Linked DNA regions of Caenorhabditis elegans. The protein of the gene in region 1 interacts with the protein of each later gene in a pairwise test. Each region holds a gene or a part of one and is shown in the gene's direction. Other genes may lie near its edges.

Region 1 (7,270 bases):
TTTTTGCAAAATTGAACCTCAATATATGCATCAAAACTTCATAGAAAAAATACTTTTTTTTTAAACCAATACGTATAAAACTGAAACTAATAATTACACTTACCACATTATATCCTTCTTCTTGTAAAATATTTGACGTAGTGCTCATAAACTTTAAATGAGAATGACCGGTAACTGGAAGATAAACCAGAACTTTCTTCCCTTTAATATTATTAGACACAGAAAAACAGAAGCTTGCAAGAATAAGGAGCAGGAATGAACAAATTGTGAAATTCATTTTTGATTGAATCTACTAAAATTAAAGTCGTTGCATGTATCTTTATACAGTTTCTATTATCTGAAGTTTGTAGTCCGTCTGATAATGGGACTTTTATTTCACTTTTTACCCCACATTTTGCTTTTTTTTTTAGACAGATACTACTGATAATAATTCTCGCCCCATAACCAACATTAGTTTCATTGTTCTTCAAGAACCAATAAAATAGCAGCTGTTATGTAATAATGTATTCACAGACAACTGATGGCTAGTGTTGTATGTGCACGTCAACTGCCATGTAGGTACTGAACATATAATGGTGTCGAGGTCGTCAATCTGAATTTCCAATGAGAATGTATTCGAGAACGATGCAACAAATTGGCCCGTTTATGGTGGTGTCAGATTTTTAATTTTATTTTCTTCATTTTTTCATGTGTTTTATGTCTATTATCAAACAGTAGCTTTTTGGCTCTTATCAGTCAAGCAAAAATATAATTATTTTTTGTTAAACCGTAGATTGTAGTTATCTTATTTGAAATCACATGGTTTTTTGTGTCAGTAGGAATAGTTTTCAAATTGTTTTGTGACAACGAGGAATGAAAAAAGAAGAAATTACATAAATAAGATTTAAATCTCAATCTAAAAACATTTTTAGAACTTTTTCAAAGATATGTTGAATTCTGGCAACTTTAGGTAGTTTTAAATTTTCCACGAAATTTCAAATCAAATGTTAACCAGTTGGTAATATTTGATCTAAAGTTCATACTAATCTGTAATTTTTTGGTGTAATGCAAAATATTAGAATTTTAAAATTTTGAAATCAATTGTTAGAAAGCGTCTCCCTGTTTTGCATATTTTTGTCGTTTATTTTGTTGTTTGTAGATTTGGGTAGATCTTCAGTTTATATGATCTTCGATTGTGCTATTTTCGGATTTTTATGGATAAAAATTACATCTTAAAACTCTCGGAATAAACTATCAAAATGAGGAGCGATGTGTTTTTTTTTAATTTTGCCCTGCAGGTACCCGGAGTAGTTGGCGAAGATAGAAATGGTGTTATCTTATATAAATTCAGACTTTCTCTGTTAAAATTTTAACCACCAAAAAATATAGAATTTATAAAAAGTTTCATTTTGAAATTTTATCTTTTGGGGCCATTTCACTACCTTATCAGGAAGAAATGTGTTTCATCAGAAATTGAATTTTTCATCTTTTCAGAAAGTGTACCTAATACCGTATCATGCTCATATTCACGTGAATAAGGCTTCTGCCCAGTTCTGTGATTCAAGGAAAACTACGAAAAATGATCTCATTTTCTTTGATTTATCACCGAGCTGGTGTGTCATCACACACAGTCTGTTTCTTGATAAAAACGCGCAGAAGTTAGAGCATTCATTGTGATTTTGGGTCTTTAATTTCTGTAAAACAAATAAAGTGACAAGTTTATCATCTGCCTATTTTATCAGTTATATGCATGGTTAGTTGCAAATAAGGGAGTAGAAATTGACTAAAACTCAAAATGAGCACTGAAACGAGGGGTTTTGTTAGTTGCGAAATAACAATTAATACAATCTGGTTGATTACTTTGTAAAAGGATAATAAAATATGCAAAACTTGGCGTATTCTGAGATTTCATTCCTAAAGACATTTATCAAAACAAATGTTTTCTGCAATTTTCTAAATTCTTGGAATTCTGCCCAGCAGCCTCTAATATCGCGTTTTACTTAGAAAATGACTTTTGGTTTCATTTTCTCATTTTCTGGCTTCTATTTTTCACAAATGCAAATATTTACATTTAAATTAGTACTTTCATTTCTACAAAGATCAAATTTAACATTATTGACAGGTTTACTGTTATCTTGTGACAGTTCCGTACTGTCAATCAAAACGAAAATTAAAACTCATGAAATATCAATGAACATAAATTGAAAAAAAAACCCAGTTGAAAGGAGAAAATAAGCGAAACACACCAACAACTGAGTAGTTACGCTCACAATTTGGAAATGATTTTGAAAACTCTCTGGACTGCATTTCAATTTTTAACAAACAATGAATACATACTGATAGTTTTTGTACTTCTCGGCATTCAGAGGCAACTTCCTGCCAACAACCTGGCAACTTATTTAGTGCCACTAAAATAAGTTGCCAAATTGTTGGCAGGAAGTTGCCTCCAAATGCCGAGTTGGAGCAAATGATTCGATATGATTTTAAGGATACCTACGCATGCCTCCTGCCAAGACACGCACCCACCTACTGAAATGTCGCGGAATTTTACCTCCCAAACTATAGATTGGGTGAAACTTCACTGTAAAAGCTTTTTTTAAGTAGTAGGCTGGCAGTAATGAAGACGTCCATACCATAATTTTTAATGTTGTATAGAAAATCTGAATTCTCAAGTATAACATTTTCCAATAATTAGCATAGTCAGAAACTCTCCACCGCCGTTCCGTTCCTTTTTTTTGTAACTATGGAGTAATAGAACAAGATTATTCAAATTCAAATTTTTATAAAACTTTACAACGTCCTTTCCATATATTCTTCACACAACATTTGAAAAAACAACAAATTCATTCGAAATGCATTGCCCATAATGAATCGACCGAAAAACACAAGTGACCGTCAGGAGATCGATAGAGAGAGCCCGTTCCAACTAGACAACTTTTTAGTGCTTATCCTTACACACACTTTCTAGCTTCATAAGAAATGCATCTATTATCGTCACCATTTGGAGACACCAGTTTTAGCGCACATTAATAATCGATCAGGGTCTAGAGACTCCTGTTGGATTGGCATGCCACGCCTACATGACATCTGGCTCTTGACGGGTGATTTGTTACAGTGAGTAGCCACAATTTCGCGCATTTTCTTCTAAATTTCACTGTTATTTGTTCTTCTGATTTATTTCATTTGAACTATGGAAATGTTAGAGTCAAAGCCTCTCAGTGCGATTAGTATGGTTATTGATTCAATTGGAGTTGATCATGAAAATCAGGTGAGTAATTAAACTTGAGCAGTTGTGAATTTCATCAGAAAACAATTTTTCTTTAAAAAAATTTAAAAGTAACAATTTGAGAGTCAGAAAAATGAAATTAACATCAATCGAAAACTTACATTGCATTTGCTTGAAAGTTTTTACAAAGACTTCTGCGTGTCAAGAAATTCCAATTTGAAATTTATACAAAATCCGCACGAGGGAAAATTTCTGTTCGACTTTCAGAGAGTCAAGTAAAATTACCGCATCTTCTAAAAATTCTGAAAGTTAGATTCTGAAAGTCAATCGTGTAAACTTTTGGTTGGTATTCATTCTATTTTCCAATCTCATTTTATCGATACGATCTCTAGTGAAACTTGTGTCTAACATTCTATAATTTTTTTAAATATTTCTAGAACAAATGTAATTGCTGCAATGAGCAAATTTATGATCGTTATATTTATCGAGTAAGTTTGCTGATGTTTGTGGATTTTTCAAACTTTCTTTGCTTTGCTTCTGTAAACAGTCTGCTCAAAATCTTGAATATTTTTCTTTTGCTTCTATAGTTCGAACAACATTTCAAGATTTCAGCCATCATTTATTTTCAGATGGACAATCGATCGTATCACGAAAATTGTGTCAAATGTACAATATGTGAGTCTCCTCTGGCCGAAAAGTGTTTTTGGAAAAATGGGAGAATTTATTGTAGTCAACATTATTATAAGTAAGCTTTAGCAAAATATTCTTGGAATTAATAAAAATACATTATTTCAGGGATCACAGTATTCATCGGTGTGCGGGTTGCAAGAAAGGAGTGTCACCGACAGATATGGTATATAAACTGAAGGTATTAAATTGGGTCAGAATGTTTAAGAAAACATTAAACTTTGAGCGAACCTATACAAAAAGTTGTCAACTTTTTATCAATTAAATTTTTGACTACTTTTGTATAAACAGTAGGAATGCCCGAAAGATTTCAAAAAGCCTACAATTTCAAATTAAAAAAAAAACCAAAGCTTTGACTAATAGTTTTGAAAGATGTAATCATTTTTTACGCTTTGCTCTTTGCTCTGACGGGATCCTGCTAGACGCACAAGCATAGAGCTTGGGGCTTTGATCGGTAAAGTTTGACTCAAAGAACTTTACAGGCTGGGCTCGTGTTCCATGTGGAATGTCATTGTTGCTCTTTGTGTGGACGGCATTTATCACCGGGGGAACAAATTCTTGTTGACGATACAATGATGACCGTATCCTGTATGTCACATTATCCTCCTCAAATGGATGACAACGCACCTGGAGCAATAGGATCTGCAGTTGATATACCATCTTGTTCGACAGAAAATCCAATTGCCCCATATCCAATTGATGAATCTTTTTCATCAGCTTTCCAAGTTAAAAAGGTATACTTTATTTTTCGTTGAAAGTTTAAAGGGATTAAATACCGAATAATGTACTGCATATTTAATTTTTAGGAGGTTGACGCTTATGGATACAACTTTGAGCATTATAGCTTTTCCGATTTCTGTGATGATGATTCACGAATGCTAAAAAGACGCGGACCTAGAACGACAATCAAACAAAATCAGGTATACAATGTAAGAAAGCGGAAATTTTCATAATGATTTTCAGTTGGACGTGCTGAATGAAATGTTCTCGAATACACCAAAGCCGTCGAAACATGCTCGAGCCAAATTGGCATTGGAGACCGGTTTAAGCATGAGAGTAATTCAGGTTTGGTTCCAAAACCGGAGAAGTAAGGAACGGAGGCTCAAACATTTGTGCAATTACTTGAGACATTATGAGCAACGTGGGCTCATTCCTCCGCCAATTCATTTTAGAAATGGTTAGTTTAAAGATTCAATCTGGAAAACGCAGTAATAGCTCTGAAATTTCAAAAAATAGATAGTGACTAGTAAACATTTTAACAAGTTGTTTTGTTGCATAAACATTAAGTTTGACACTAAAACTTTTCAAATCGGACTTTGTTCATAACTCAGATCCGAAATCTCTAAGCAAATAATTTATATAGATGAAAAAAAACTACCTTCTTTCGTGGCGATAAGTGCCTGTTTCGTGCCTACACATATGCCTACCTACTGTCTTAAAGCATGCGTAAATCTATTCCGTTCACTGAAATTCCGGCTATAACTGAAAACTCCATTAAAACTCCATAAAACAGGCAATAGATAGGCGCTTAGGCAGGGAAACATGTCTCACGTTTCTCTAATTTTCTGTATTTAAAGTTTCTCAATCATTCATTTTTGATTGTTCAAATCTATTTTCATAGAATTTTTTCTTCGAATTTCATGATGTTTAATTATTGAGTAGTTTCCCTATAATTATATATAACGCGTTTCCAATTATTGTCTGTTGTCTTGTTCGAAAATCTAAGCAACACTGATGTGGCAGTACACCAGAATACGCACAGAAAGCAAAAATCCAGAAAAGTTTGAGTTGCCACGTCATAAATCACAAACCAAATGGCTTGGCTCTTTCGAACTTTTTGCTGCTCTTGCATTCTTGTTTTTTTTTATTCTCTTTTTTCATTTCAGAAGAAATGGACACAACTGACTTCAACGCGTTTTGCGGAAATTTCGAAGAGGAAGATGATGAAGATTGATGAAGATTTTTTTAATTTTTAAAACAATATATTCCATTTATATATATATATTTCATAATGTATTTTCCTTCCCAAATCTTGAATTTCATTACATGTTTGCCAAAACTTGTGTTCTGAACTTGTTCAAATATTCACGTTTGCGCGAATAAGTAATTGAATGTCAGTCGATAATCTGATCTCAATGATTCCATTTTTAATTGTCCATGAATCATAAAATCACGAAATCTTAAAAATTCTCACACTTTGTCTCGATTCAAAAATAATCCTAAATGCTACGTTTTTGTGTTGGGTTTGTTGGTTTAAAAACGAGAAAATTTTCAATTATTCCGTCACCTTGATTGAAATAAGATTTGTTTTCCTCGTAAAAGAAAACGGTTCAACTAGCTGGTTTTCAAAAGATTTTCGAACCCTTGTAAAAGACTTATGTAACTCTATAATTAATGTTTCCGTCAAAGAATTGTGTAAATTGTATAAAAATAGTTTTAAAAATTAATGGAGGAAACTTCTTGAAAATTCAGCATTAAAATATAGTAGGTGTGTTTTTTTGTCAACGCCTTCGTGATACCTATTCCAATAACTAAATAGGTTTTTGCTACGGGTTGTAGTTCCTCGGAAAAAGAAACAATTTAATTTACTGAGCTAAGTGAACTATTTCCTCGCAACTTCCACACTTTTTCTTTCCTTCCCCAGAACGAGAAAATATTAGTTTTACCTGTAATTACTAGCTTATTTTCCAACATCTAAAACCAGCCCCCTTGAAGTACAATTAGCCAATGACGCACACGTTTGAGACTTTCAGATCAAAGGAGTTCTTCATGAAAACTTTGAAATATTTTCCCGTGGTCTTTGTCCCTGAATGTTGAAAAAAGTGGGAATTTCAGAACCTCGAGACTTGAGTTTTTAATTATACTGCTTTCTAACCCATTCATGTTTGGGAGAACGATAAAGCTATGAATTATGATCGTAGTTTTTTTTCACTATTTTTTTTGTTTGTTGGCTTTTTTTTCAAAATTTCAATGATTTGTTTTCGCATTGACTTAATCAACTTTCCAAAACATTTTTATTAACTTTGTTTAGATTTATTACTTAAGTTTCTGATTCGGTTTGAAGCATTGAACATTCATGTTTATGAAAAGTGCGCTACATAGTTTAAAAAGCTAAACGTATTTTATAAGTTCGGATAATTACTACGGTAGTCCTTGCATCCATGTCTCTCCTCAAAAGCAAATTCGATTGTTTCAGAATGAGTATCCAACCGCACAAAAACCATGTGGTTTTTTTTGATAATCTGTTGTTGATAAATCATCAGAAGTTAATTTTTAAAGCTCAAAATAGATACAAACTCGTGGAATGTTTTGATACTTTTGGTGACCTAATGAGCAACCTATAGCATGTGCAGCTGATTTAAAAGCGTAGTGTTGATG
Region 2 (8,885 bases), on another chromosome or scaffold:
AGAGAGCAGCAGACAGCATACTGGATCAGCCCATGCGAAGTCGTGCCTAGAAATGAGAAATTTTATATAATTTTTTTAATTGTCTGATTTATTGAAGGTCATAGCCGTAAAACGGTAATTTATAGGCCAAAATTATGTTTCAAATGAGGTGTATGATAGCTAAACTCACTTGAAATGTTCACATAACAAGTTCAGTCCAGTAGTCGTCAAGGCTAACAATACCATTGAATTGATTCTTGGCAGAAGAAGACGCGAAAGGCCAGGAATAACCCAGCACACAGCATGGGACAAATCAGCTGCATGCTCTTGCAAACTTGAAGCCGTTGCTGATTGAAGAACATGTTGAAACGGTTGATTTTTAAGAGCGTATGCTGAGAGAAGCAGCGCCACTGAAGATGCAGCAGAACCAACAAAATATGGCCAGCCGCCGATTTCTTCTACTTCATGTTCGTGAGCCGCTGAAGCATCATGAGAACCATGGTGATCAGGGGATAACAAGTGCTCGAATGATTCCTTCGATAAAAAGATGGAAAATAGTTGAGCCAACACCTGAAGAAGGTTATTTTTAATCTCAAAAATACTGATTCCAATTGGAATACATTTTTAATATTTAGTGTTTCAAAAACTCACGGTAGTACTAAAGACTGCCAAAACCGGTACTCTGGCTAATCCGTAACTAAATTTATGCGTTGGTTTTTCGGTTATCGACATGGAATACAGAGACGCGAATTGGGAGCAAAACGAAAAAATCGTAATCCAAAGAGTTGACATTAGAACTGAACAAAAAACTATTATTTTTGCACTCAAATACAACAATTACCTATCGAGTGGCTCGTTGATACGCAATATGCCAAAATTCCAACACACGCCAGGCATATTAATGTGGAAATTAGTCCTCGTTTCCCTTGAGGATGGTGTAACGACCTTGATACCCATGAGAAGCTGACCATCTGAAAATAGAACACTGCATTTTTGTTTCTGAACAATTTTAGACGCATAAAACAATAAATTAACAACTATACGCTGTGGAAGTCAACACGATTCAAATTTTTCTTCAGAAAATCCATTGCTTCCATATTTCCATCAAAAAATGTTCATTGAACGATTTAAAATTAAGCTGAAATGAGCCAAAACCTCGTAAATGGAGACGTGTTCGTTCAAAGGCGCGCGCACTTTCACCACTGGGTCTCGCCGCGATTTGGGAACTCTCTCGAATTATTTGAATTTCTGCCGTTTTATCATCTTCATTATGCGTTTCCATGGCAATTTTCCTGAAGAACATTCGCGACTTTATATTTCTAATCCATTTACGTTTATATTCAATGCCATTCGCACTTAAAATATATCGATTTTGGCCAATAGTCCTTGTATTTAGGAGAAAAAGGTTGTAAGAGAAAAATCAATCGAAAAAAGAAATTAAGTGGACAATTCTTGCTTGTTATTGCCGTGATATGAAAACATTTTCATCTGATGGCTTTATTTTCGTCAATTTGCATAATCATGCTAATTTCAACTGTGCGCTTATTTATATGTCGTGCACCTTCCTTGAATTTTATTGATTATTGTTCGTATCCGTCTAGTTCTCTTTTCGAATTACAGGCAAAAACCATGGCTAAGCAACCAACAGTTCTCTGGGCCCAGCGTGAATCACTTGTCTATCTGACCATCGAGGTTGATGAGGCGAAAATCGAGGAACTGAAAGGAGAGGGAAACAAGCTTCACTTCCAGTACGTTTCGGATTAATATTTCGATTTCTATTTTAAATGTTTAAATACGATATGAAGCATATTTCTTGCTTCCTAAATATTCACAGAATGTTCATGATGGTACATAGAATGAGTCGTAATTCGTAAATTTTCAGAGGAAGCAGCAAAACTGACAAGTACGAAGCAACTCTCGAATTCTTCGACGAAATCGATCCTGCATCCGTAAAGCACACTGGATCTTCAACCCGCGTCGTTGAGATCACAGTTCAGAAGAAGACCCCAGCCTGGTGGCCAAGACTTCTTCAAAACAAGGGAAAGGTCCATTGGTTGAAGGTTGACTTTGGAAAATGGAAGGATGAAGACGAGGATGATGAGGCTGAGGATGCCGGAGCCGGAATTGGCGGTGGAATGGCGAACGGATTCGATTTGAACCAGTACATGTCCCAGATGGGAGGAGCTGGCGGAGCAGACTTCGGAGGTCTTGAGGATGATGAGGAAGATGACGGTAAGTATTAAGTGCAATAATATCCTTTTTGCTTACTATTAGTAATTCGTTAATGATAGAAAACCAATGTAGTATTAAAATGTTATTTATTATAAAAAATTTTCAGATATGCCAGATCTCGAAGACAACGAAGAGGAGGAAGGAAAGAACGGAACGAGAGCTTAAGCAACTCCTCAAGTCCCAATTGTTTCATTAAAAATACAATTTGAATTTCTCTAATTTAATTCTTTATTCATTTTTCTCTATCCCGATTATTCCTCTTCCAGTTTGTGAACGCTTCACGTATCTCAGTCACAGAGTTTCATTTATTGTTTCCACTTTAAATATTTATTGAGTAAAGTGATATCACACCCATCTTCTTGCAGTGAACTTGTGAATTCTGACGGCTTAATTTTTATCCCGCATTCGTTTTTCTAATCAGTTTCCATGGGCAAGAACACAATTGGTAAGGCTCTGGTAATACTTTTCTAAAGTTGTTACTTTTTTTAAAATGTGAGCATACAAGGTATTTAATTTTGTCTTCTTTGTGGATCCACATGGAGAAAAAACTCCTGAAGACATAAATTTTACTCATTCAAGCTGGATAATATCATTCAAATCATATCATTCAAGTTAATACGCTTTTTCCGATCAATCATCTGAATCACAGCCAGAGATTAAATTATGAAATCGTATTTTTAAGATATGAACCAATTAGTGTGTCCATTGTGCTGCGAAACGCTGAAAGAGGAAGGCGCACACTTCTACAAACATTTTAAGTACAAGTGAGGATTTTAAATGTTATTTCTATTATTAAATTCATATATAATTTTAGGAGATATGCATGCGGAGAGAGCACATGTGATATGGGATTCTACACACAACAGGAGCTCAATGCTCATTGCTCGAAACACGGACACAAGCGCTCTTTTCAGGTTTTGAGACGATTTTCTACAATTAAAAATATTGTTTTTTTTCTTCAGAAGACAGTAAACCCATACATTGACAAAATGATATCGGTTGTTGTGGAAGACGCATACGCCCTAGCGACTGACGATATGGAAACTGTGCTTGAGAAGCGATGGGGAAGAGATCCGAGATCAGTGTCACCGACTTCACCTGTTAAAAAGACTCCTACTGATAGTGCAAAGAATAAAAGAAGTTCCGTCGTAACTCCAACATCTCCTCCAGTGCCAAAAAAGGCAAAATCGGGAACTTCTACGACTTCACCATTTGCATTTTTAAATAGAAGAACAAATAATTCTGAGAGGTATTTATTCACTAAATACAATTTTAACAATGCCTAGATTCCGACAAAGCCCTCGTTTTAAAAATGATATATTCAGCTCACTCTGCCCCAACGCCTCCTCAACATCAGCTCAGCCAGCTTCATCAAGTTCAGCTCAAGCTATAGTTGATTCAACAACCAGTGAACATAATATATCTATTGATAAAACAAAGAAACCGAGGAAGAAAAGAAACGAGTCAATGACAGCAGCTCAAAATCAAGAGAAAGCTGGAAAAAATGCAAATTACGATGAAATGTCAGCGATTGATAAACTAATTGGATGGTTTGATCCAAATGTTCCAGAGAGACGAGATGCTGCAAAAGTGAAATGTGCGGTTTGTAATGAAGAAATAGTTTATGATTTTAGTGAGTTTTTGAAATCTCTAAATTCGAATTTAGTTTTTATCTTACAGTTCTCCGAAAAGGACACGTGACTCGTTCCCACATGGCAGCTGATGTAGCACCAGAAGATTATGATGATTTGCTGAAAACTGCGGTATGTACAGGAAAACAAATTAAATTGAGAACAAGGCTGTGCAGCAAATCTACAAAAACAAATTTAAAAAAGGAATATGATATTTCATTTTGAGGCAAATCTGAATTCGAGAAGGAAAAAAAAAGAATTATTCTTATTTTTTTCGAAACAAAAAACGAAAAATCTACAGCCCTGACGGTGACTTTCCTGCACTTTTTGAGATAATTTTCGAGTTTTTTTCTCAAAAATAAATATCATATTCAGATCGAATGAACATTTCCCCCACACTGTTATATTAATTTTTAATTTGAATTAATTGATTATCATACTGAAATTATAAGTTTTGACCCTGTATCTACATTTATCCTAACTAGGTTGCAGTTTTTAAATTAAGAAAAAATGAGTTTCAGATGGATCGATCGTATCCAGATCTCCCAAATTCGGATCTTGCTTGTCAACTTTGCATGACTGGTGCTGAAGTTCGAAAAAATATGCGCCGAGAGCATATCGAGAAGCTGCACACGACGAGTCTTCCACCGCTAACATGTCCAGTTGGAGAATGTGAAAAAGGATTCAGAAGACAGTGTGATTTGAGTTCTCATATGAAAGATGTATAGTTTTATTTATTTAATTTATAATAAAGCTAGGAAATTGACAAAAAAAATCAAAGAATTCCAGACACACAAAGCGAGCATGGCAGTGTACAAAAATGCAACATTTCAACAAGTTCGTCGCCGTCGAAATGCTATGATAAACGAGATGATCAATAAATGCTTTCCGTGGTCTCGATTAGAAGCAATTGAGAATAAGACTGTAGTTGGGGTTTGTTGAATTATTAAAGTTTTCTGGGTAATTATGAGATTCAGGAGAAGTCGGATTCTGTTAACCGCGCTCCTGTCGATCGCTCGTTTGACACAGATGTTCGAGTGAGAGACGTTAACGTAAGTTTTTAGAAAAATTATCTACGGGAGTCATCACGACCAAGAGTGACATCCAAATTTTTTTTTAATTGAAATTTAATTTTTCAATTCTTACAAAACACATTTTCAGAAAACTCGCCGTGCTCCTCAATACAATGCGAACCGATCTTCGTCGTCCGATTCTGATTCAGAACATGAAGAAGCAGCGTCGGTGGCTACGGGAGAAGTTTCCGAAACTGGTGGAACCGATGATTTCCCGCAAGACGTCATATACATATGTCATCAATTCAATACGGAAGTTGCTCAAAAACTGTCGCAGATCGTCAGAATAAAGCCAGAGATCATTGATGTGGAAGACGTGCTTATGAATGATGTTACAATGGAAATAAATGAGATTCCAGTTAAAGAAGAAACAGAGGAAGAGCAACCGAAAGAGGAAAATAACAGGTAAAAATTGCATAGATTAAGCTTTATTCGTTTTTAAGTAGTTTTCTCGCTGCTTCCTGCAATCTTCTTTTCATCAACAGACAATTGTTGCGTTATCTCAAGTTTTCGAGTTTCCGTAGCCTGGGAAAATAAGAAAATATTTAGATTAGTCTAAAAATAAATACTCCTCACCTCTTTAGAGTTGCCCTTCAGTATTGCTTTCTCGAATTTCGGAAAATCGTCATCCAGCGTCACATACTCGGGATCTTTGCTTTCCTTCATTCCGGTCACAGTGCGTTTCGCGTCACTGTAATGAGAATGATTGGGAAATTAGTTATTATTGTGCTTACAGTTTTCTTGGTGGAGCTACAGATGGTCCATGTGACATTTCTGAAGCTTTTTCGGCAATCTTCTTGAGTTGAGACACCGCCTCGTTGTGTTCATCCTTTGCATCACGATCACTTTGCCTTGGTCCCTTGCTCTTCTGAAAAAAGTCATTTTCCAATAATAAATGCCTGAAAACTCTTGAGAATTGGCGAAACTAACTGAATTTTTTTTTAAATTTACGGTTTCGCCGCCAAACACCACTTTTATCTGCGCCCTTCTAATAATATTTCCATCCCTCTCTTACCTCCTTGGACGGAACTTTTGCCATTTTGCTTGCTCCCTTCTCTCCCGATTGAGCTGTTGTCGAATGTGAAATTGACTTCATTTCGGGATTAACACTTCCACCAGTACCAGGAGTCGATAGATTCTTCTTCGCCGATTTCATTTTCTTCTTCTGCTTACACTTTGTGACACACATTTTTGAACTACTACACACGTGCCTGGAAGTGTGCGGAAATTGTTCTTCAACGGAAACGATAGACGAAAAAAATAAACTCACTATTACAGTTCGATTTATTGAAAAATGATAATCGAACAGATGAGTGAAATGATTAAAAATAAGAACTGATGAAATTGAACCTTTTTGAATATTTCGTTTTGATGTTTTTTTCTTACGTAAATAGTTTAGATTAATATTTTTCTCCCGTAAGGTTACATATTAATTCCTTTTGAAAGTTTTTTGAAATTTTTTGAAAATTGCCCGTTTTTGGAAAGATTCAGTACTCCATATTATTTTATTATTTTCAGTACTCTACCATCAATTCCAATTCCATCAATCTTCTCACCATATGAGCCAATTGTTCCACCACCAGCTACATCTCCAGATCCAATGAATCCGCCAATTGCATCACTGCTTCCAACTCGAATTCTCAGTGCGACAAACGTTTTGGAGAATAAATATAATGAAAATGTGTGAGTTTTTACGAAATATCTGAAAATTAAAAAAAAACAACTTTTGATGTTTCCTATCAATTTTGCAAAATTAAAAAAAGATGGGCTAATTATTTTCAAATTCTCGCGTTAATGAATTGCCTAGTTTAACGTTTTCAGCTCGTTTTCCGCGAAAAAATTATTTATAACGGTGAAACTGTTTTTAAGTCAGTTTTGAAGTTTTAGTGAATTTATTTTGGCCTAAAAATTGAAAAACTCATCTTCATATTAAATATTTTTTATACTGAAAAACATTTGTTCAGCCAGGGAATTTAAAAATAATTAGCCCATCTTTAATTTAATTTAATTTTCATTTATATTTATTACGATAGTAAGATATGGAAAAAAAATCATTAAAAAATTATAAACGTTTTAATTTTTAAGCAGTTAAATTCAAAATCAGATCAGTTTTAACCATCATTACAATATATAATTTCTAATTTCAGTAGCTCAAGAAGATCGACATCACGTGAACGTTCTTCCAACAGAAACTACGATGAAAGATGGTCTCGAAATGACTACAGTAACCCTCGTAACTACAGCAATCGTTCATTCCATCAACGAAACCAACGGGGACATTCATCATCGAATCGTTTCAATTCTCCATTTGTTAGTCGAAATAACTACAACAACAATTCTGAAACAACTGAAGGATCTTCTCGTCGTTCCGAATATAATTCTTCGTCTTCCAATCATCATTCCCGTTCGTCATATCGTGGCAATCGAGATGATCGAGGCTCTCGATGGTAAAGCCGCCATCAATATTATATATGCATTTTCCTTCTAAAACCGTTCAATCTTCAAATATTTCCCTTAACCTTCCAGTATTCCAAATCAGCTTGTGCGAAATTTTAAGAAAATTTCTCGAAAAATCTAAATCTCCTTCGCTTTCAAACATCAAATTTAGTTTCTGTGTGTTAGTATATCCTAGCGTTTCATATCTAAGATAACAATTCTCAATTATCTCTTTTTAGTTAGCAATAAAATAATGCCATTGTTGTTTGACTTTAATTGTTGAATCTCTCGTTCTGTTTAAACGAATATTCCATGTGTGTTGTGTTTTATAATATTTTATTGCTTCTATCGTTCTCCAAAGTCTCGATTCAAAAATCCATGTTTCTAAATACGGAAGTGAAACTAAAACTGTTAAATCTAAAATTTTCGAATCAATATAAGTACATTTATTTACAGAAACAAAAAATTACAATTTCAACATATAAAATTACAAAAATCAACAAGAAAACGATATAATTTTAATACATTTCTTTTTCAAATGGATCATCAATCTTGACACTAAAATCCATTGATCGGTTCAAAAAATCGCGGAATTGTTCGATTAAACTGTCACGGCGACGACTTCCGATAGATTCCATGTGACAATCCATTGATGTATCAGATGCTGAAAATTTTTATAATATCAATAACTTTAGAGGGGAAAATTACCTGAAATATATTACCGAGACGCAAAACCTTACGATTTTTACACCAAACTAAGGCGTCCGGTCTCGAAACGACAAACATTTGTTCAATTCGAAAAGGTGTGCGACTTTAAAGAGTATTGTAGTTAGAAACTTGTGTTTCTGCGGAATTTTCATTGATTTTTCTATTTTGTTGAAATTTAATTGTAAAACATATTTTCTTTTGTTGACAATCTACAGTACTCTTCAAAGGTACACACCATTCACAAACATTTGTCGTATCGAGACCGGGCACTGTATTTTTGACAAAAATCTGGGTAAATTCTCAGGGTTAATACAGCAATTAATCAACATATAGTTTTCATTTAAAAAAGAACAAACCATCACTGAAACGTCGCTCCCTTTCATCGTCACCACCAATCTTCTTCAAATCCATAAAATCTTTGGTCGATTTGTCCATTCTTCTAGTTCTTCTCAACAATCAAATGAATTATCAATCAAATTGTTCGTCTTTTCCTTTTTATATTATTCTTTTTTTAGCGGGTACCTAACCATCTAAACAATCAAAAATGGGTGGAGAAGGTCGATTGACACACGTGATTATATCTTCTACATGCTTTTTCTTATCTATTTGATATTAATAAGGTAACATTTATGGTAAACACTTACGAATGCAACACAGTGTATCGCATTTCTGCTCGTGGAGCAATAACATGGAATAGGTTTTTCTTGAATATTCTAATACAGGTGCTATTTTGAAAATGTGTATAAAAGCCAATATTTTAACTAACATGTTCCGTCATGTGAAGTGGTAATCGGCAGTCCCCCTAGTGAACAATTTTCAGACGGAA
Region 3 (8,183 bases), on another chromosome or scaffold:
CCGCAAACGCAAGCAATCTCCACAAGCTCACTGGAGCGACGTTGATAATGTGGAGAATCTGGAGAATCAGGCGACCGCCGCACAACAAATTCCGGCAAAAAAACCGCGCTGGAATTCGGTGGAGCAAGAGCCCGAGCCCGAGGCTCCGCTGGAAGCCGTCGAGCAGCAGCAACAGAAGCAGCCGACAACTGACGGGCAGCACCTGCCGGATATTGTCAAAAATATTGGAGGATTCGAGATTCGTGTCATTCGAAGTCACGACCCGTCGCGCAGAATCTACACTTATTGATTTTTCCCGCCGCCGAAAAATCGAAAAAATCGATAATTTATTAATTTCTCTTGAAAAATCTCCCAAAAATCAATAATTTTACGACATTTTTCATCGATTTTCCCCCTGCGATTGTAATATTTCCCAATTTTTTACATTGTATTAAAAAATGCCAAAAAAACAATATTTTATTGATTTTTTTTTTCAACGATTTTTCAAAGTTTTTCCCGAAAAAAAAAACGAATGTATTAATAATTGTACAAAAATGTTTCCATTCCCCCCCCCCCCCCTGAGCCATTTTTATCAACGTTTTACCCAATTTTTCCACAATTTTCCACTTTTTCCTGAAAATTATCGATTTTTGTGTCATTTTTGTGATCTCTCGCGATTTCTATACAATACATATCTCGACCCCACGACTTTTTTTGTAATAAATTATTATTAATTCGCAAAAATTTGAATTTCCTTGGGTCTCACCACGATTATGGAGAATTTTAAGTTGCAAATTCGAATTCTCCGTAACTTTTTACCTCTAAATCGTGGTTTTCTGGGTTTCTAGCTAAAATTTTGAGTTCTTTGGGGTACGGTAGCACCAAAAATACGCAAACACCGAATTTCTTACGACAAAATGCACAGTTTCTTTACATTCCGAGTTAAAGCCCTAGAAAATGGGACCCCGAGCTAAAAAATGACGGGAAATTCAAATTTGACAGCAATATTTTCAAAAAAATCACAGAAAAATCAATATTTTTAAGAAATTGATTTTTTCCGGGATTTTTATTGATTTTTGAAGATTTTCATTGTTAAATTCGGATTCTCCGTCACTTTTTACCACTGAATACTTTTTTTCCGGGGTTCTGAGCTAAAATTTAAATTTTTCGGGGTACTGTAGGCCCGAAAATACGCAAGCACCAAATTTCTTACGACAAAATGCACAGTTACTCTAAATTTTAAGGTAAAACTCTAGAAAATAGGTTCCCCGGGTGAAAAATGGCGGGAAATTCAAATTTGACAATGAAATTTTCGAAAAATTACGAGAAAAATCGATATTTCGAAGAAATTCAATTTTTTCGGGGGCCCGATTTTTGGAGCCTGAACATTGAAATTTGGAAAGTTGTGCATTACCCCGAGAAAATCAAATTTTGAGCTAGAAGATCGGGAAAAATGGTTTAAGAGGTAAAAAATGCAGGAAAATTCGAATTTCTTGGAAATTTTACTTGAAATTTGATAATTGTGGGCGAAATAGAACGTTTTGAAGCTTTTTGTGTAGTTTTTTTTCGGTTTTCATTCAAAACTGTAAATTTTCGATCAATAATATGAATTCTACGTCTCTTTTCACTCCGGAAACCCAATTTCCAAAGCTCAGCTACCAAATCCTGAGAAGCTGTGCATTTTGTCGTAGGAGCTGCGGCGGTGTTTGCGTACTTTTGGCGCTACCGTACTCAGAGAAAATCAAAAGTTGAGCTAGAGACTCGGCAAAAAATGTGAATAGTGGGAAATTATGCGAGGATTTCGTTTTTGAAGTTGGTTTTCCAAAAAAAAAATTGATTTTTCGGAAAAAAATTTTCCAAAAAAAAAATTTTTTTTTTACAAAATATTGTTTTCCCCGCCGGGGTAACCAGAAATGAAAGCCGTAGAGGGAGAAAAATGAAGAAAGTGACCTTGAAAGTCCCTTTCTGCCATACAAAAAACGCTCCCCTAACCAGCTGCCCCCACACACACAACTTATTCCGAGGCACACGAGAGAGTACACACAATCAAAGAGACGCAGAAATGCGGCAATTTCGAGTGTTGGGGGCGATGAAGACGGCGGAGACCATTCATTTTTGCCATCTGATCACTTTTCCGATTTTTTCTAAATTTTTTTTTTTGACAAAAGTTTTATACAACTCGGTAAATAATTTTTGTACGTAGGCTTACTTTGAGGTCTTATAACTTTGGACTCAAATGAACTGTCAAATTTTAAAGTAAATTGCCTGAAAGATAAAGTTTTAACGCAAATTTTGGTAAAATTTCACCAAAATTCATTTGGTAGTTTTTGAGAAATTTAGGTTTTAATTGAGAAAATAAAAATGTTGAAAATTTTTTTTTTTAATTTTTAAATTTTTTTTTTTTGCATTTTCCAAAAGTTTAAATCAAAAATTTGATATTTTCTGAAAGAAAAATAAAAATATATTTAACGCTAATTCTGACAAAATGTCAAGCAATTTGCACAATTATTCTTTGAGATACTACAGTTTTACCGAAGAAATTTCATTTTTCAGTAAATTTTTCAAAAATTTAAAATTTAAATGGGTTTTCTGAAACTTTAGGGCAATAACACATTTTTTACAATAAAATTTTTTTAAAAAAACAATGAAAAGTACATATTTGTCAAGTTAGAAAATTTGAATTTTCACCAAAATTTTTTTTTAAACTTTTTTGAAATTTTTTTTTAATCCTTGAAAAAAATTTAAAAAGTTCAAAAAAATGTCTTTTCATCAGAAAATTTAATTTTTATTACAATTTGGTTATGTATATACTTTTATTAATATAAATTTATTGATATCCTCAACAGATATATGCTTTCAAAGGTTGAACTGGACATGGTGCATCGATCAAAAACTTGGACAGCTTATATCTCAGTTGTCATTGTTTTTATCAAAAAATCGATAACTAATAAAATGTTCATTATGAACTTCTCTATAACTTTGTAGTTGAGCACTTTTCCATATCTCCAAAATTAACAGAGATACTAGCCGTCAAAGTTAGAGTTAGACATGTTGCATCGACCTTTCCTAACTTTGACAGCCCATAACTCGGTTAATATTGAGCCAAAGGTTGTAAACTGACAAAATGTTCATCATGTTTTTCTCTATAACTTTGTTGTTTAACATTTCTCCCTACCTTTAATATTAACCGAGATATAAGCTTTTAAAATTTAATAGTACATTTTTCAGAATGTCCGACTCCCCGCAGAGCTGCAAAAAGCCGCGAACTCGGAAAGAAACTATTCAAAAGCGAGAAACACGAAGTAAGCATGAAAAACGACGAAGGGAAGAGATGAATGAAGTGATTTGTGAAATGTCGACACTTTTGCCCGAAGATATTCGGGCTCATAAGCTGCGAAGAGTGGATCAGAAGCCTCGTCAGCTGGACAAATGCTTTATCATTGGGAGTACTGTTGATATTATTCGGAATAGTGATTATAGTGAGTCTACAGATTCAAATTAGTAATAATATTCTAATTTGGAATTTTTTTTTAATTTTGAAAAAATTTGGAAAAAAATTTGAAAAAAAATTTCGAAAATTTTTTCTTTTTTTTTTGCAAATTTTTTTCCTAAATTTTCGATTTTCAAAGCTTTTTTCTTTGTTTTTTACTCTAAAACTCGGTAAAACAACTCTATTTCCTCCCGAGAAAAATATAAATTCAACCTATTACAGTAACCCTGATCCGTTTCGTGGCGGGACCCAAAATTTCAAATTACCTTCAAACCAAGGCATGTTGGGTGTCATTTTAAAGCAATCATTGAGCTAAACTCAAATTTGAAAGCCATTAAGCTGAAAATCTCGAAATTTTCGGAATTTTCAGTCAATTTCAATTTCCTCCATTTTCCAGAACCACCGCTGCTCTCCGACCCGCTCGTCCAGGATATTTTCAGCCTGACCAACTGTTTTATGGTTTTTCTGAACAATTTTATTGTCGTGGATATTAAGGGAGACCATCAGGCAGTTTTTGATATTGAAAAAGTTTGTTTTATTGATTTTTTTTCGATTTAAAAAAAAATTCAAAAAGCCATTAAATGGGCAGAGTTACAGGCCTCTGAAAATAATTGTTAGGCTTAGGTGTAGGCTTAGGCGTAGGCTTAGGCTTAGGCTTCAAACATTTTTTTGGGATTAGGCTTAGGCTCAGGCTTAGGCTTAGGCTTAGGCTTAAGCGTAGGCTTAGGCTTAGGTTTAGGATTAGGCCTAGGCTTAGGCTTGGGCTTAGGCATAGGCTTATTAGAAAAAATGGGAAAAAAAATTCTCAAAACATTTTTTTTGGAATTTAATTTTGTAAAATTTTCCAAATTTTGTCCCAGACGGGCGTGACAATCAAATGCACACTTTTTTAGTTGACAACTTTTTGCTAACCCTTAAATGGTAGCAACCTTTAAGCTTCAGTAACTCCGCCCATTTATTGGCTATCAAAAAATTTTCAACCGACAAAAGCTTCACCATGAAAAAAAATCTGCAAATTTTTTCAGTTGACAATTTTTTTCTAGCTTTTCTAGATTTGAAGATATTTGAGTTTATTTTTTTGAAAAAAAAAAATCCCAAAATTTTTTTTGTGGGATTTCATCTTTTTATAATTTTTAATTTTCCAAATTTTTTCCCATACAGGCGTCCCCAATTAAATGTTCCTTGTAAACAAAATGTCGTCATATTTTCGGGGAAATATTATCAAGGTCACTTTTTCCCAAAAAAAATTCGATTTTTTCGGACTGTGTGTCAGCTGACTTGTTTCAAGGTGAACTGGTGGTGGACCGGGGGTGGGGGGGGGGGGATTTGGTGAATCATTGGGATTTTTTCGGTTGGAAAATGTTTTATAACATTTTAGATAGTATAAAAATTTAGAAAGTTTTCGAAAAAAGTTTCAAAAAAAATTTTTTTTTTTGGACTTTTTCTGAAAAATTTTTTTTTTTTTGTTAAACTAAATTTTTTTAAAGTTAGAAATTCTAGAAATAAGTTGTAAACTAACAATTTTTGTCAAAATTTTTGCAAAAGATTTGAATTTTTCGCTAGTTGATAACTTTTTAGTAACCATTAAATGGGCGTAGCTGCTGCCTTCCGTAACTCCGCCCATTTCATGGTTATCAAAAAGTTTTCAACTAACAAAATGTTCATTTTGAAATTCTACACACTTTTTTAGTTAACAACTTTTTAATAGCTGTTTTAGTTTTTGAGATATTTAAAAAAGAAAAAAAAATTTTTTAATGAAATTTTTTTTTTCAGAAACGTATGATTGGAAAAGATATCCGATGTTTTCTGGACTACGATTCAACGTCCAAACTGTCATTTCTCACTTCCAAAGAAATGCTCAATGAGCTCCAACTCAAAAGCTTCATGGCGAAGTCAATGACGTGCAGAATAAAGGAATCGGCGGAGGTTTGGGATTAAAATGTTTTTTTCAATTCGAACAATTCGAAAAATTTAGCTTTAAAACTAATTTATTTGAATTTGGCGTGTAAATAGCTTTTGAATGACACCCATCATGCCTAGGTTCCCGCAATTTTGGGGGAATTTTCCGGGTCCCGCCACGAAAACTGGCAGGGTTACTGTAGTTTTGAATGAAACTAACTTTTTCAATTTTTTTCAAAAAAGTGTGATCACTGAGCTAACTTTGAAGAAAAAAATTAAGAAAAAATAGTGAAAACTAAGAAAGTTACAGATTTTCGAAAATTTGTGAAAAAAAATTTTTTTAAACAAAATTTTTTACCAAAAAAAACTTATTTTGTCAATTTTTTTTTAGCTGAGAATCACAATTTTACTCTCAGCAACCCAGAAAACCTGCAAAACCTGGTAAAACCAGTAAAAACAACCAAACTACAGTAACCCAGAAAGTTTTCGCGGCGGGACCCGAAATTTTAATCATTCACGGAATATAGGCATGATGGGCCTTATTTTGAAGCTCTGGACGTGCTTAATTTGAAAATGTACGAGTTTTGGCTCAAAATCGTGATTTTAACCAAAAAAATTAGTTGTTAAAAAATTGAAAAAATTTTTTTTTCCAAAATTTCAAAAATTCCTAGAAATTTTTAAAAATCAAAATTTTTCCAGAAACCCACGGAAACAGTTTTAGTCTGTGTGCCTGATGAGCTTCCAGCTCTCCCGGTTACTGTACCCAAGGCTCCGCCCATTTTAGCTTCGCCCCTTCAGAAGACACCGCCCCCGCCGTCGAGTTTGGAGGTGAAAAGCCCGATTTTGGCGGCACTTTTGAGGCGAAAAGAGGATAATTGTGTGAAAGTGGTAAGTTATTAATAAGAATTAATAGTTTGGCGGGAAATTTCAAACTTTTTGAGAAAAAAAAAATTGAAATTTTTTTTTTCGGAACTTTTTTTTCTAAAAAATTATTTAACACTATTTGTTGAATTCCAGAGCTCCCCAAGCTCCTTCCTCTCGCCGGGCTCCTCCACCTCGTCTACAGTACCCAATGTGAAACCTACAGTAACCCGCCGACCTACAGTACCCACAAAACGGAAGAGACTACGATCGATGAATGTTATAGTGGAAAGTTATCCGTTGGATGATGAGAAGTCGGATGGAAATTCACAAAAATCGGCGAAAATTGGGAAAAAGAGGTTTTTTCTAACAAAAAAAAACGTTAAAACCTACAGTAATCTACTCCAAAATCCATGCGAGACCCTTAAAACTGAAAATTTCAAATTTAGCTCAACAAGACCTTTCAAATGACCCCCATCATGCCCGGGTTCAAATTTTCACAAATTTATTCAAAAGTTGGGTCCCGTCACGTGGGGTACTGTAGCACTGGTTTCAGCTGTGTCAGTGACATAATTTCGGAGTTTTTCCGAAGCTCTAAGCGTGCGAAAGTTAAAAATGTTAATAAAATTCTTAACATGTAAGATTTTATTGATTTTTTCAAAAAAAAAAAATTTTCTAATTTTTCTGAAAAAACTTGCAAAACTATGTAAATTTTCAGCCAAACTAGCACTATTCCAACTCCGAGAAGCACTTTGAGCCCAACTACAGTAATCCATCCGTCCACGTCACTAATTCAACCGATTCCGACACTTGGAATGAACCCATTTGACATGTTATCACCTGGTTATCAAGATGTATGTGAAAATTATCGATTTTTAATGGTAAAATCAATAAATCATCGCTAAAAACTAGTTTTTATCAATAGAGCGCACTTGCAACACGGTTTTAATTCAAATTATCGACTTTTCAACTACAGCTACTATCAATTTTCCAGATTTGGCTCCGACTACAAAGTGAGCGACTTCTGCTGGAAAAACGAATTTCAGCGAAAGAAGGGGAGCTGAAAAACCTGATGCAATTCGTTCAAAACCCCCCGTTTTTGAATTTCCCCCAATATATGCTCCCGCAAGGGCCACTTGGTGCTCAAAATCAATAGTTATGGGTTTAAATGAATAAAATAAATATTTATTTACAAAATTTGATTATTATCGACGGGAATTTGTTTAAAATACTGCAAAATATACTGGGAAATTTCCGGAAAAATCATTTCGAAGTTAATTATCATTTGAAAAACCGCCGAAAACTGTGAATGCGCAAGGAGAGGTTGCTGGCGCATTTCTCTTGTTGCTTGCGCACTCTGCGATGAAATTAATTTATTTTATTTTTTCATCATTTTCGTTGGGTTTTCATCATTTTTCAGCGATTTTTTTGCAATTTTTTTCAAAATTCCCATCAAATCTATAGTTTTTCTCACAGGAAATGGACTCGGCCGACCCTCAACTCAATCGATTCCTCCAGCAACTGCAGGCGGAGACGCAGCGTCAAAAATTCACCGAACAAGTGCACACGCTCACCGGTCGCTGCTGGGATGTGTGCTTCGCCGACTACCGTCCGCCAAGCAAGATGGACGGCAAGACTCAGACCTGTATTCAGGTAAAAATTTGGGAAAATTTGGCAATTTTCTGCAATTTTATGGGAAAATTGAAGAAAAAATTTAAAAAATCCAATTTTTTTCCGTTTCAGAACTGCGTAAACCGCATGATCGACGCCAGCAACTTCATGGTCGAGCACTTGTCCAAGATGAACGGAGGACACGTCTAAAAATCGATGAAAATCCCCTTTTAACCTTCAATTTTTCTTTGTTAACTGTTATAACACATACTGTTTAGGCTCTTTTCCATAAATTTTCCCTTAAATTCGACGTTTTAAGCGCTGGATCATATAAAATAGTGAA
Region 4 (5,506 bases), on another chromosome or scaffold:
TACCCTTTTTTCTTCTTCACACAGAAAGAACCTTGTTCTGCACGATTCGCACACCTTTTCCGGAAATCATCATTGACTCACACCTTATTTCATTTTGTGATTGACTTTGGCATCACTACGGTGGATAATCTTCAGGTAAATAGAATTTTGATTCATTTTTTCCAAGTCTTTTTTATCATTAAACTATCATCCCATCTACTCACCTCTAGTGTTTTCAAAGATAATAGTCAATTATCATTAGTCGGCATGTTGCACCAAAAGGGAACGTTTATGTAGTGAGAGTCATAAAAGGAACACGTACCACCCCAACATGATAGGTTTCATAAAAAGTTGTCGTCGTCTTTGAAACCAAATTCAAACGGAGAATAGCCAAGAAAAATGGTTTGCTCAAAAAAAAGTGGGCGGTTTTTCTGCCGCGCGGTACTCCATATTCCAAGTCATTCTCTTTTATGTCAAATTTTAATGTGTATTTTCAAAATTTCTGTTCACTATAATAGGACAGTTTACTTCCATAACTCATCATTAACGAGTAGCTAGAAAGGTGTATAACTGTCGTGCAAATGTTATCTAAATAGTGCAAGATGTCCTAAGTTGTCATCAGTCAAGTTATAAAATGTCACTTATGTTTTTGGTGTACTACAGTTACCTAATCAAAAATTTTGAATTTCTCTATAGATTCGGTTCCCGTGTGTCTAGAAAAACTTTATCCAGACCTAAAGGCGCTTTTTATGTTTCTTATCGCTCCAGACAGTTTCACGGTTTTTTAAAAGTATAGTTAGGTCTAAAACTTCTTTGAAAAGGGTGTCATGAAATCTTCAAAGATCTACTTCTACTTCTAAAGTAGGCGGTGCACGGCAGCACAGGGCCTACCGTAGTCAGTCAACCAGCGCCCGCCGAGAGAGCAGCAGCAAAGACAGTGGGCGTGTCGGAGGAGAAGACGAGCTGAACACGAGGTGGTGGCCGCCTCCGTCTGCTTCTGGGAAGCCACTCAGTTCCTCCATTCTACCAAGTATAGGCGATATTGTATGTTCTGAAAACTTGGTTCTGCAAATTTTTCAACTATTTGTGTGAGTTGTTGAAGATCTCTAACAAAAACTGTCTTAACTCAACAGTTTTATCGTTACACAGTAGCTAGCTAGCTAAGTTAGACAGTGCTCATTCGAGCACATTCTGTGAAAACTAAATTGAAAAGTACCACTTTTGGAAATTCCATATTGGAGAATCTGTTAAAAAAATCATTTTCAAGCTGAAAAATTAAGATCAAACTTTTATACAGTTTGTAGTGCCCAAATTTTCGACAAAAGTGCATATAAAATTTTGTATTAGTATTAGTCTGAACCGCTAATATGATTCAATGACAAATTTCCCGCCGTTTTACCCACATTTTTCAATTGTGTTTTGCAACCGTACGGAAGAGGGTTCTACTGTTTTTTATGTGGCCAGCATGCATCATAATTTGTATCATTTCTTGTTTTTAAACTATTATACATGAAGCAAAAAATTTTTGAGATGTTTAAAAGCGGGAAAATAGGTGGCTCGCGATACGATTTTATCATAACAATAGGTTGAGAATGATATTCTGCTCCCTGTCCGCTTTCGTTTTTCCCCATTGATACCAAAGTTTCTTTTTTGGCACCATTCTTCTTTCCACATCGCCGAAATAGAGTGAGAAAAACGGGGAGAGTCAAAGTCACAGTATCATCATATTGTCAATAGAAGAGGCCCATATTTAACTGTGATTTTTTTCTTTTTTTCTGCTAACTTTCTTCCTTCTGAAAATGTCTAATGTTTGCATATCACCGCGAGTCTTCACCCGAAAAGGCTTTCCCTTTTTCTCATTTTTCCCCTACTTTTTTCTACTTTTTCTACACTTTTCGACTCTTTTCTGCTGGTTTTCTCTATGAGTCAATATGGAAAATGTGGTTCTCATTTTCTTCAATTTCATAACTTGCAAATGAGATAGATAGCTTCTAGTCACATACACCTCTACTGTTTGGTAAACACTCCCCTAACACCTCCGTGCACGTCGGCTACCTTTGATGTAGGACCGAAGCACGGAAGCCAACCGTTTTTATAGCCGCCGTGTACTTGATAATATCATGCGCCCGAGCATCAACAAGCCATCAAAACCTTTCTACTTACCGACCAGCACAAAGAATTTCTTTCAATTTCGCCCCTCTTCCATTTCCAATCATTCGTTATCGCCGTTTCCAAAATTCAGAAGTGTTAGCGAGTCTATAAAAATTCATAGATGACGCGTGGTGTAAAATGTGAGTCGCCCTCCTCCCAAAAAAGCGGCACCATAGAGTCAAAGTATCCCACTGAGTTGTAAGTGATCCTCCTTCTTTCTTGACAGTCATCCCTACCACCACCGCAACATTGTGCTCCGCCTGTTCAGTCCTCTCCTCCTTTTAGATTTGTTTGTAGTAGATTACCCCATAAGACGATAATACTCGTTAACAAAGTGACAACTTCTCTTGAAAAGGAGCAAACAATAACTATCGCTCCTTCTTCTGAATTCTGCTCTCTTACATTGCCCAACGGTATCATCATTTTTCCCTCTTTTCAAATCGTATTTGCTCGTTCCGCTATTTTTGCGACCTCAAATCAATTTGAAATAATTGTTTTCTTTTCAGCTGGAATCAACACTAGCCCTTCCCGCACACACAAAAATGCTTCCGTGGCAACGACAAGTTCCAACATCAATTTTTCCTCAATCAAATGAACAAGTTTTTCGAATGATGCTTGCACAACAACACCTCCAACTCCAAAATTTTCTGCAGCAGAGGAAAATGGCGCTGCTTGCTATGAATCCAGAAATTCCAATGATCACCGATCTCAAGAAAGCAAAATTTGACTTCACTCACATGGCTGATTCAATTGAATCTGAACAGAAGATCAAAGAAGAAAGTGTGTCTCCAAAAATGTCCCCGACGCTCACTACTGCAGCCGTTCGACCATTTGTTCCTTACGATCAACCATGGTAAGCTCTTGTATCATAATGTACGATATGATGATAAGAAATTTTATACTGTATCATCTCAACTATTTAGTTTTAGGTTCATGATCCCTGGACGTGGAAGGACTACTGGCCGAGCAGCCCGACCAAAGAAGGAATTCATCTGCAAATATTGTGATCGTCACTTCACCAAGTCTTACAACCTCCTGATCCATGAAAGGACACATACTGATGAGCGACCATACTCGTGTGATGTTTGTGGAAAAGCATTCCGTCGTCAGGATCATCTTAGAGACCACAAGTATATCCACCAAAAGGACAGGCCATTCAAATGCGAAATCTGTGGGAAAGGATTCTGCCAATCAAGAACTCTCCTCGTCCACCGTGCAACACATGATCCAAACCGACACAGTATTGGAGCTCCAGTTGTACCAATCAAAAGTGAAACACCACTCCCTGAACTGGATCCACGAGTAACATTAATTCTTCAAAATCTCACTGATAGCTTTAATTCGACGTCTATGACATCCCCACAAATCTCACCTGATCGCTAAATTCTGCTGAGAATTAGTATTTGGCATCTAGGCTTTCTTATGAAAACGGTCAATTTTGTCATTCCTGCTTAAACATTTTCATGTTGTCCAGTATTACTTGAGGATCATCTGTTTTTTCCAATATATGCTACTCTTTTTTTTCATATGTCTATATTTTTTTCGATTTACCTTCTCTCTTCATACTTGATAGGGTCAAAGTTTTAGATTTGTGATTGTGTCAGATACAATATTGTACCAAAAATAAAACATTTTCTGAATGACGTTGCAATACGGTGTATAGAGTTTACAAGAGGGCAGCAAGGGATCATATGTGCAATATCCACGGTCGGCACCGTTTATTGCAGATGGGTGTCTGTTTTCAAACCGGAAATGATTTGAAGAGGATAGAAGGCAGCATGAGCTCCACAGCAAAGGGCTCACAATGTGCAAATTTTTGAGCTAGCTCATTGAAGTTTCAGCATTGACTATTAATTCATGAAACTGTGCACACAGATTTCATTCCAAATCTCTGAAAACCCTAATTATCTCACATATTTCCTAAATTGGTTTGAAAACCAAACTTGAAAATATTTTAACTAAGTTTTTTTGTTGGGCATTAAAGATTTAGCATAGTAAATTTTCAGACAATTAAATATATTTGAATAGTTTCATGTTGTAGTAATGTTTCGCAACATTAGTATGTCTTTGGTTTGTCGTGTGAGAAATGCTTTTATTTGTATTTTTTAGAAGATAAATTTGTTTTGCCATGCTTAGAAATAAACAAGTTCTGATTTTTTTAAATTCAGTTTTTTTTGTCTTATTCAGAAGTTTTCATTGCGATCAGACTACCACTTGGTTTGAGGGTCATTTTCGAATTTTTCGCCGGAAATCTAGTATTGATATGTGATTGAAAAGACTAAAGCATTTCTGTAACTACTATTCTACTCTGATCTTCAAAACAAAGAGCAACAGGGAGAAGAAAGTTGAAAAATCGACTAGCAATCTGCTATGGGCTTTTTGAGATTTTCAGAAATGTTTTCAAAAATCCCATTTTTTGAAAATCATGAAAATGTTTTTTAAAGTTAAATTGCATTAAAAAATGTTTTTGTGGTGTATGTTTTGTTTTTCATAATACGGAATGGACTAGAAACAAAAAATCGCTCAATTTTCACATTTACTGAATTTTAAGCTCAATTCTGACACTATTGATTAATTATTTATTCCTAATTCTAATTACGTTAAATCACACGGTTTTATACATTTTAGTGTTTTTTTAGAAAAGTTTCATATTTTCGAGTCATATTAGAGACAAACTGGCACAAATATGTTTTAAACTTGTGTGTTGTTAAGAAACTTACAACCGACGAAAACATTATTTTTTTCAATTATCTAATCATTTGTTGATATGTTCAAAAAAAAACAGGTTTATGAAAACCGTATTAAAAAATTAGTCATTTTTTGAATGAATTTTCTTGTTCAAAGTGCTCATCGGCAGCTATGAAAGGTATATTTTAAAGATTCCTATACAAAATATGTTTCTGTAATAGCAAGAATTTGAAGAGAAAATTGACTGTATTCAGAATGATTTTCAGACTGTTTCTACTGACATTTGGTAGTTCTGAGAGTTGTTGAAAAATATGGTCTATTAAAAAAATGATGTGATGATTTAAAATAATTTCGTAAACCGAACAGCAAAATGTTATTTATCATTGGAATACTTGAAAGCTTGAACACAAAATTCTACGTGATTCTCTATAAACTTCAATGCCATATTCTAAACTGAAAGAATAGTTACTTTTCAACATTTTGATTGTAAAATAATCGTTTCATATTTCATTGATCACGTGAGATACCAATTTTAAACTGAATCCTCTCATTGATAAAATCATTCATATGTTGCCAATCGATTACAGTTCAGAGTAATTTTGTTACGGTAGTGATAAACGAGCAACGCTGGCTAAACCCGCTTATGTCGACCAATTCAGCCGTACACACGGGTTTCTGATTCTGTGTC

Evidence for each region.
Region 2: the proteins of mec-3 (region 1) and ztf-8 interact in a two-hybrid assay, tested with the Caenorhabditis elegans proteins (one large-scale study listed by BioGRID).
Region 3: the proteins of mec-3 (region 1) and hlh-33 interact in a two-hybrid assay, tested with the Caenorhabditis elegans proteins (one large-scale study listed by BioGRID).
Region 4: the proteins of mec-3 (region 1) and odd-2 interact in a two-hybrid assay, tested with the Caenorhabditis elegans proteins (one large-scale study listed by BioGRID).

What each region holds. Positions count from the first base shown.
Region 1 is NC_003282.8:10,457,666-10,464,935, reverse strand, and holds mec-3 (Mechanosensory protein 3), read left to right. Parts: upstream 1-3,068; 5' UTR 3,069-3,169; coding exon 3,170-3,247; intron 3,248-3,642; coding exon 3,643-3,693; intron 3,694-3,834; coding exon 3,835-3,950; intron 3,951-4,000; coding exon 4,001-4,073; intron 4,074-4,374; coding exon 4,375-4,626; intron 4,627-4,698; coding exon 4,699-4,812; intron 4,813-4,855; coding exon 4,856-5,069; intron 5,070-5,778; coding exon 5,779-5,846; 3' UTR 5,847-6,120; downstream 6,121-7,270. Other genes in the region: ugt-43 (glucuronosyltransferase), read right to left, coding at 104-277. UniProt on the Caenorhabditis elegans protein: Transcription factor. Specifies differentiation of the set of six touch receptor neurons (TRNs).
Region 2 is NC_003281.10:5,267,480-5,276,364, reverse strand, and holds ztf-8 (C2H2-type domain-containing protein), read left to right. Parts: upstream 1-2,893; 5' UTR 2,894-2,895; coding exon 2,896-2,975; intron 2,976-3,025; coding exon 3,026-3,125; intron 3,126-3,173; coding exon 3,174-3,460; intron 3,461-3,536; coding exon 3,537-3,844; intron 3,845-3,891; coding exon 3,892-3,974; intron 3,975-4,363; coding exon 4,364-4,564; intron 4,565-4,631; coding exon 4,632-4,775; intron 4,776-4,819; coding exon 4,820-4,894; intron 4,895-5,003; coding exon 5,004-5,320; intron 5,321-5,329; exon of another isoform or gene 5,330-5,353; coding exon of another isoform or gene 5,354-5,440; intron 5,441-5,491; coding exon of another isoform or gene 5,492-5,606; intron 5,607-5,649; coding exon of another isoform or gene 5,650-5,783; intron 5,784-5,930; coding exon of another isoform or gene 5,931-6,104; exon of another isoform or gene 6,105-6,126; intron 6,127-6,185; exon of another isoform or gene 6,186-6,239; intron 6,240-6,433; coding exon 6,434-6,598; intron 6,599-7,062; coding exon 7,063-7,366; 3' UTR 7,367-7,610; downstream 7,611-8,885. Other genes in the region: toc-1 (similar to Transporter Of divalent Cations), read right to left, coding at 1-46, 170-549, 631-776, 821-950, 1,023-1,076; Co-chaperone protein daf-41, read left to right, coding at 1,609-1,727, 1,862-2,211, 2,318-2,376; ZC395.4 (uncharacterized protein), read right to left, coding at 5,354-5,440, 5,492-5,606, 5,650-5,783, 5,931-6,104; ZC395.5 (Ovule protein), read right to left, coding at 7,870-8,015, 8,416-8,494.
Region 3 is NC_003281.10:1,852,185-1,860,367, forward strand, and holds hlh-33 (BHLH domain-containing protein), read left to right. Parts: upstream 1-3,207; 5' UTR 3,208-3,208; coding exon 3,209-3,458; intron 3,459-3,866; coding exon 3,867-3,997; intron 3,998-5,242; coding exon 5,243-5,395; intron 5,396-6,067; coding exon 6,068-6,256; intron 6,257-6,385; coding exon 6,386-6,588; intron 6,589-6,947; coding exon 6,948-7,083; intron 7,084-7,223; coding exon 7,224-7,385; 3' UTR 7,386-7,419; downstream 7,420-8,183. Other genes in the region: pqn-82 (Prion-like-(Q/N-rich)-domain-bearing protein), read left to right, coding at 1-289; ddp-1 (Mitochondrial import inner membrane translocase subunit Tim8), read left to right, coding at 7,709-7,882, 7,973-8,050.
Region 4 is NC_003284.9:6,157,652-6,163,157, reverse strand, and holds odd-2 (Protein odd-skipped-related 2), read left to right. Parts: upstream 1-2,630; 5' UTR 2,631-2,672; coding exon 2,673-2,983; intron 2,984-3,059; coding exon 3,060-3,513; 3' UTR 3,514-3,781; downstream 3,782-5,506. UniProt on the Caenorhabditis elegans protein: May function as transcription regulator. Required for morphogenesis and function of the digestive tract.